Lepisosteus oculatus: one gene and its partner. The protein of the gene in region 2 binds, or shares a complex with, the protein of the main gene of each other region. Links are inferred from orthologs where the notes say so. Each region holds a gene or a part of one and is shown on either strand. Other genes may lie near its edges.

Region 1 (3,752 bases), on a different chromosome or scaffold from region 2:
AAACAGCCCACCTGCAGGCGCAGGAGACCGGGCGCTGAACAGCACGGCACATCACTCAGCCTGAGCCGATCCGGACCTCGTCTGCACATTCCTCACCACAGCGGAGCACTGAGACACTGTTTCACACACTTATCCACTTGCAGAACAATACAAAATACAAGACAAATACAGCTCTGCTGGAGACGGGCAAGATCAGCCAAACGGCTTGCTGTCGTTTCTTTCTTTCTTTTTTAGTTTTTATTGAATCGTCATAAATACAAAAAGGAGACACAATATTAAAACAAAACTGTTATCTGTTACAGTCTACCTCAGGAAAAAAACAGGATGTGTTTCATACCGCACCTTGTCCTTGTGAAATACTGACGTCCTGGTAGAACTTCTTCCTCCCTGTGGATACAAGCAAATACGAATATCTGATTGAACCGGGCAATTAAAAACAGAGAGAATGTATTTTCATGATCTAACCTAGAGACGTCACCATGGTTGTGTAAGAACGGAACACAAGAATACATTTGCCGCATTACGGGCATCCAGCTTGTTGTGCAATTACATCGGAATCAGCGATTGACTAACAAAGCGACACGAGTTCCCACACGCCGGGCAGAACCCGGCTCTTACCCGGGGTCGCAGTAGAGTATGCCGGCGAGCTTGCAGCGACACAGCCGCACGGTGACTGGACAGCGGTGCCGCCTCTCCTGCACAACCGGGCCAGACCCCGCAACATCTCTCTGACAGATTCTTCTTATTTCGGGAATCACGACCTCAAATCGATTTCATGCGCTTTTGCAGGGTAACCAAAGCATTAAAGCATGTCATAGGGACTTATGACACTTGATTAAATTATGCATTATCACACTGCATTATCGAATCCTAGTTACCCGGCAATCAATACACATATATTTTAATGGTGTTTTTGGACGTGTTCCCCTTTAAAGAATCGCATTCCCAGGGTCAGTCATAACCTGCTCAACCGCATGGGCGCCGCCATGTCAGTGACCTCAAGCGCGTCACTGCTCCTCGGACACGCTCTCCAATGGCCGCTGGGAAACCTGAGGAACGGGGCGGAAACAGTCCGAAGGTCACTGAGGTGGGTTATGGGAGGTGGAGTTCGACTGCGGGAGAACGGAGGAAAAACTACAGATCGGGGCTAGAAGACCTACAAGTCCCAAAATGCATTTCAGAAGGCCATCCAATGAGCGGCGGTTTCTTTGCCAGGTGCGCTCCCCTGGCCAATAGGCTGGCGGGATGTTGCTGCGTGGTGCTGCGTTGAGGTCCCTACTGTTTGCTGGGACCCTGGTAGCGCATCTCTCGGCGGCTGGGGAGAATTCGTGAGTCGGTGAGCCGCCTCGACAGTTCTCCCCCTGTCCCCTTTTTGTTACCGTCTCTGTGGCGTACGTCGGCCATAGCTGGGGCGACCTTCAGACGTGATAAACATGCCGGTCCGGACCGAGTGCTGCAGTACCGCCTGTGCGGCCTTTATAGCCTCGGCCTCGCTTATCCCGCCTCCCCCAATCAACACGCAGCAGCCGGGTGTCGCCACCTCGCTCCTGTACAGCGGCTCCAAGTTCCGCGGACACCAGAAGAGCAAAGGGAATTCGTACGATGTCGAGGTTGTTTTGCAGGTAAGTAAGAAACGAAGAGTATTTATACCGGAGCCTAGTGTCATCGACTAACATACAATCTGGCCAGTAAAACGACGTAATATTATCATAGACGTATTAATATCACTGGGGAGGTGATTAACTAAAAACTTGTAGACGCGTTTCTCAGTTGAGATCAATCTCACATTAAGTTGTGTTGAAATCGTTCTTATCCCTGTGGTGTTATCGAGGTGGATTGTGGTGTTTTTGTTTTCAATCTTTCACTGTTTCAGTTTTATTGAGAACTTCTTCTTAGCTCGAACAGCCCCAGTAAAAAGTCGACTGTAGCAATTTCTAACCTCCTAGGACTGTGTTGTTTGACTTAAAATAATTTATAAGTGTTAAATACAACAATATTGGAGGTTCTAAGGCTTATGCTTTTCAGGTTAGGCTTGGTACCAAAAGCACAACAGTCACTGAAGACATCCAGATCCTCAGTTGCCCTCTTCATAGTCGTCACAGCAGCCAGACCTGCGCTGTAAATGACGTGATCCTTGTCACATACAAAGTGTACCTCGGACTGTGAGAGTTTTATAGGAGGTTAAAATGAACTCTGTGAAACTGGTCCAGCAAAGGTGCTTGTATTTTGCCCGGCAATGATGTGGCATTTCAGTCACATTACCTACTTGAACTACTTTAATAATAGCTGCGTCAGCTCAGCATGCGTAGGCTGCAAAGGAACAGGTAAAGGTTTATTCCATGCTGAAGAGGAAGAAAAGAAACACAACGTTTCGGCTGTGCAGCCTTTTTCAGGTGTCACCCGAAGAAGGCTCCACGGCCGAAACATTGTTTCTTTTCTTCGGTTTTCAGCGGGGAATAAACCTTTACCTGTTTGCATTATTATTATTAAAGCTCACCATTCCTCTACAACATGCGCACATGATATTGCAACACATCAATTTGTGAAATGTGTGCTGCTGAAGGTAAATTATACACTTTTCTTCTTGTGCAGTCACTCTCAGAGGAAGGGTTTTTAGTGTCGGAAGCTGGGTTAATTAAAATTGTCTCAAGTGTCACACTTGGCTTAGAAAAACTGGATTTTTAGCCTCAATTACAAAGTAGGTCTGCAGAAGCAGCAGGGGCTGCAGTGAGGGCCTGTCATTCCTTGCCTCACTAGGTATGTAGGTTCTGAGCACCAGTAATTAGACTCCGATGGAAGTTGGAACTGTTGGAGCCCCGATGATTCACATTGAAACAGTGTTTGACTCATGCTTCAAATATTTAAAAACAATGCCGCTGTTTAGTCAGGTAGTTCAAATCTGAGACCGTGTTGTAATGCTCCGAACTGGCTGTCATGACGATATTGTCATTTTTTGCCTTGACAGCACGTTACGATGGAAGACTCGTACTTGTGCGGGTACCTTAAGATCAAAGGACTGACAGAGGTGAGATTCAGACAGCTGTGGCTCACGGGAGTGTTGTGGTGTTCAGTTTGAAGGGAGATTTACACCTGCCGAGCTGGTACCTTCACGTTTCTGCTTCCTTTGTTGTCGCTTGTGCCAGTTCTCTGGTTTTCTCTTTTTCACAGTTGATAAGTATTTCTGGCGGGTTAAGGTTGCATTTCTGCGTCATCTGGAACTTGCAGCCTTGGTTATATTTATTCAGTAGCAGCAGTTGTTCTCATTCAGACTTCTGCCATACAGGGTTTTACTCAGATCTGATTGATGTGCAGTTCCTTTCACTGGGGCTCCATTTTTACGGTGACTTTTTTTGCTGTTAAACATACCTCACCTGTCGGTGGGGTGGTTCAGAGGAAGAGCTGCTGTTCCAGGAGGGGCTGTGTTCTGTGAGCATCAGTAGCCCATAGAGGAGAGTATTGGCTGCTATATGAGGGGTGCTGGTATTAAGATCGAGGTGAAGTTTTGGAAGGCTAAATGAATATGGACTTGGCTGATCCATTACTGGGGCAATATCCAGTGTGCTGAACTAATATTTGGAAGTTGGTTGGGAGATTCTGAGTTCAGCTATTAGTGGATTGTTGCTTTATAAGATGCCCCTTCATCACAAAACAAATTGTTTAAGCATATTTGTAGCTAAACCCCATTGCTCATTGACAACCCGTCTTTGACCTGAAAGACATAAGACAACAGCTGTTTCTTTTTTCCCCATCAG
Region 2 (3,752 bases):
AAAGATGCAGATGTATTTTAATAAGAACAAATAAAATAGGAAAACAAAATACAGTGTTTCTCCTGTTGAGCCATCTTCATTTGCGAGTCAAAAGAAAAAGGATCAACAGCCAAAAAGTTGTATTTCTATTTTTCAGTGTGGAATTGACCTTTACTTGTTCCTTTGCAGCCAACACACACTGATGCAGTTCTCCACTTGATGTATATCATATATATACAGTGCCCCTAACACATAACTTCTGATAGGAAAGAAGGCGTGTGTGTATCATTTGTAATCCAGCAACATTTGAAAAGCTGTAAAGGACATTGGAGCAACATTGGAGTGGATCAAGAATAAAAATCTTATGTCCTCGAGTGGCTCAAAGTCCTGACCTAAACTCCATGGAAAATCTATGGTATGATTTGAAAGTTGTGGTCCACAAGCACTATCCAATAAACCTGAATGAGCTACAACCAATCTGCCAAGAGGAATGGGAGAACATCAGGTCTAATCAGTGTGCAAAGCTGTTAGACATCTACCCCAAATGACTTAAGGTGGCCTATGGTGGCTCCACCAAATATTAATGTGTGGGGTCTGAATACTTATGCAAGCAGCATAGTTCAGTTTTTGTCTCGCTTTGAGATATCTGCTGAAATTTCTAAACAAATTTGAAGTAAATTGTTTTTGAGCATGTGAGTGTGCAATAAAAATGTTGATTGAAGAAGATGTGTATTATTTGTGATCCAGCACCCTTTGAAAAGTTGTTAAGAGTCTGAATAAATTTGCAAGCCACTGTACACATACTGTACATTTTGTCGAATCTATTTAAAAATATAAAAATATATGTATGTGTACATAAATCATGCTATACCTTAAGCTGCTTGGAGTAATGGAAGGTCTGTTTATGAAAAACAATAAAACTGCATATATACATACAGTTTTGTGATATATCTAATACTGTATATTGAACTGAAACTAGTGTTGCTCTTAAACCCAGATGGTGGTCAGTGAAAACAACCTTCAATTATTTCTGTTTCTCCCTAGTGGAGATTGCAGTTGGTGTCAAATGATGTTGGTTTAAAATGCTCACCAGTTCACTCTCTAAATTTTCATTAAATTGCTAGAAGAATGTAAACTGTATCTTTAAAACTGTTGCTGTAATGTATCTCTCCCTGCTGGTTTTGGACTGGAACCTTTTGCACTGAAATTGCAACGACGGTGCTAAGTAGAAGATTTAGTGTAACCACATTTTAGTTTTCAAATCACACGCATTATACAATAGTGATATAAAATAACCTCCTCGTTATTACAACCTAATTATGATGAATTATGTGATGATGATGTTGATGACGACAAAGATTAATATTGTACTGTTAGTAAGCATTCGTTTCAATGTCACTTCTGAATTTATCAATGCACTGTAATTTAATTTGAGGAATAATAATATATTTTATTTAAATCTGCTACTTATGTCTGTTCTGCTTCTCGACTATTTTCTTCAAAAATAGGGGGGAAGGGGGGATCGCGCAGTGGAGCATTGATTAGTCGCGCCTGGCAGAGGGAGAAGTGTGTTTTTTTAGTTTGACCGGAGCTTGTGGGCTCCAATCAGATCTGGGGATCATGCACTAACAACAAACAAAAGAGCTATCTGTCCATGTCTGGTTTTAATTGTGTCCGTCAGATTATTTGCTTTGTTTTAAACTAGTAGCCCTTTTCCCTCCTTCTTGCGGCATTTAGTAAAAATTAATTTATTGTTGTAGTTGTTATTGTAGTTATTTAGTATTTTTTTAATAGACAAAAACAATCCCGATCGCCATGTCCGGGCAGTCATCGGGCTGTGGGTTTCTGATGTCGGTTGTGGTTCATGGGGACTCAGCGCTCAACGAGCAGGAAAGGGAGCTGAACCAGCGGCTCAGGCGGCTGTATCCGGCGGTGAACGAGCAGGAGACCCCGCTGCCCCGATCCTGGAGCCCCAAGGACAAGTTCAGCTACATCGGTCTCTCCCAGAACAATCTCCGGGTGCATTACAAAGGTACGGAGGGGAGGGGGGCTGCGAGAGTGACGTGTCTTCCAACAAACGTGTACTTTCCAAGCGTACCCCAGGCAAAGATTTAATACCCACCGACAAAGAAAAATGCTAATAAAAAACAAGCAATCCCCGCATCAGGAAGGGGTACAAAGACGCGGCCTCTGTAGTCTATAGCTAACAAGCCGAGACATCTTTGGTGCAGGCCTGAACAGCAACGAAATAGTGACTGCGATCGTTGTAAAATAACCCGTGTTATTTTAAATGTCACGGCAGCTTTGGCTCGTTGTTACTGTGCTATGTGTAATATATATATAAACAAAATGTGATACGACATTATTTGGTGTTATCATATATTTTTACTTTTTTTCGATCAGTTGTCGAGTGGTGATCTAAAAAAAAAACCTATAGATCGGGTTTTCCTGTTGCTCATATATTACAATGAACTCTGGGCCGTAGAGGAAAAACAAATACGGGATGGTTCTTTAGCTACCGACTACTGTACTTGCCGTAAGACGCAGAGCAAGATTGCTCAACCCAGTTTTTCAGGATTAGTTACATAAACATGAACAAAGCCAGCGAAACAGCTGGGAGAGGACTGCGCAGAGACTGTATCTAAGTTCAGATGTTCAGAAGGAGTCTGATATTTGTTCTGTTCAAAAAATATACATATGGTGTCTGCCCTAGAACACTTTATTGTCAAACCGATTATTTTTAAGCATCTTCAGTTGTCCTGCATTTGCCGCAGTTTATGAGACAGTTGGACAGGCCTGTACACATGTGTAACTACTGTTCGTTCGTAATATACACACATTTCCCGAATAGAAGGATTATCATAATACATGTGTGGTTGATCTGTTCAAAAGTGTCAAACTAGACATTGTGTTCTCATGAGAATTTATTGTCTTGCTTTTAACCAGAAAACCACAGACGATGTACTAAGTGGTTCTCAGGACGGTTTGGAGAGAGTACACACAGCAGAGCAGTGCTAAGGGTTGTACAATGAACTGTATTGTTAAGGATGTTGGGTGTTACATGAGTGTTAAGAGCTGCACTAGGCCTTGAAACAACAGGAAGAGAGACCAGAGTGTGTGAATTTTCTCATGCATAGTCCTCTGAGATGAATAAAGCTGACCAGAGTGGCTCTTATTGTTACTGTGAACACAAGAAGCAGCCTATCAATTTCACTGAGAGCACACAGATGCTATAAATAACCCCTCTTCTTATAAGTCTTCTGATTGTTAACAGGTGTTGCTTAATTTTCGTTTGTCTTTGATGTAGTTATTTTTTTCTCTAAAAAACACAGATATTCTATATTTTTTACAGACTTGGGGAGGAAGGGGTGATACTATCCCCCAAGGATTTGTGAGAATGTAGATTTTATGGCTAGGGTATCGAACTTGGGGGCTTGCTCCTTCTGTAATCCATTTGAATCCTTTAATTCGGTAATCTGTTTATTTTCTCACATTGAACATTATTCAGTTGTTTTTTTAATACTTATTTTATGCATATTTTAAAATAATACATGGCAAGGGCCAGCCTTTAATTTAATATACAGTAGCTATGAAGTGTTTTGAGACTTGAAAATATTTTTAAAAATGACTAGTTAGCAAAATACCTGGGCCATTTAAGTGATAGGAAGTACAGAAGATTCTGTGTTCCTCTGGGATTTGGACACTCATTTAATAAGGTGTTTCGTATGTACAGTATAGTAGAGGGTTGCATACTATACATGAAAAAATGATTG

What was found.
Region 1: the proteins of ranbp9 (region 2) and gid4 are in contact, whole or in part, in a cryo-EM structure (PDB 7NSC), measured with the Homo sapiens proteins. The link is inferred for Lepisosteus oculatus from reciprocal best matches to the Homo sapiens genes RANBP9 and GID4. Residues at the interface, in NP_005484.2 of Homo sapiens: Ser223, Lys224, Gly225, Arg226, Asp227, Gly228, Tyr229, Met230, Gly256, Asp257, Thr274, Phe275, Thr276, Thr277; in NP_076957.3 of Homo sapiens: Leu187, Arg189, Asp194, Glu195, Asn216, Asp218.

The regions. Positions count from the first base shown.
Region 1 is NC_090714.1:17,608,460-17,612,211, forward strand, and holds the start of gid4 (glucose-induced degradation protein 4 homolog), read left to right. Parts: upstream 1-1,258; 5' UTR 1,259-1,433; coding exon 1,434-1,622; intron 1,623-2,965; coding exon 2,966-3,025; intron 3,026-3,752. Other genes in the region: atpaf2 (ATP synthase mitochondrial F1 complex assembly factor 2), read right to left, coding at 1-11, 343-387, 619-724.
Region 2 is NC_090701.1:20,160,545-20,164,296, forward strand, and holds the start of ranbp9 (ran-binding protein 9), read left to right. Parts: upstream 1-1,472; 5' UTR 1,473-1,794; coding exon 1,795-2,011; intron 2,012-3,752. UniProt on the Homo sapiens protein: May act as scaffolding protein, and as adapter protein to couple membrane receptors to intracellular signaling pathways. Acts as a mediator of cell spreading and actin cytoskeleton rearrangement.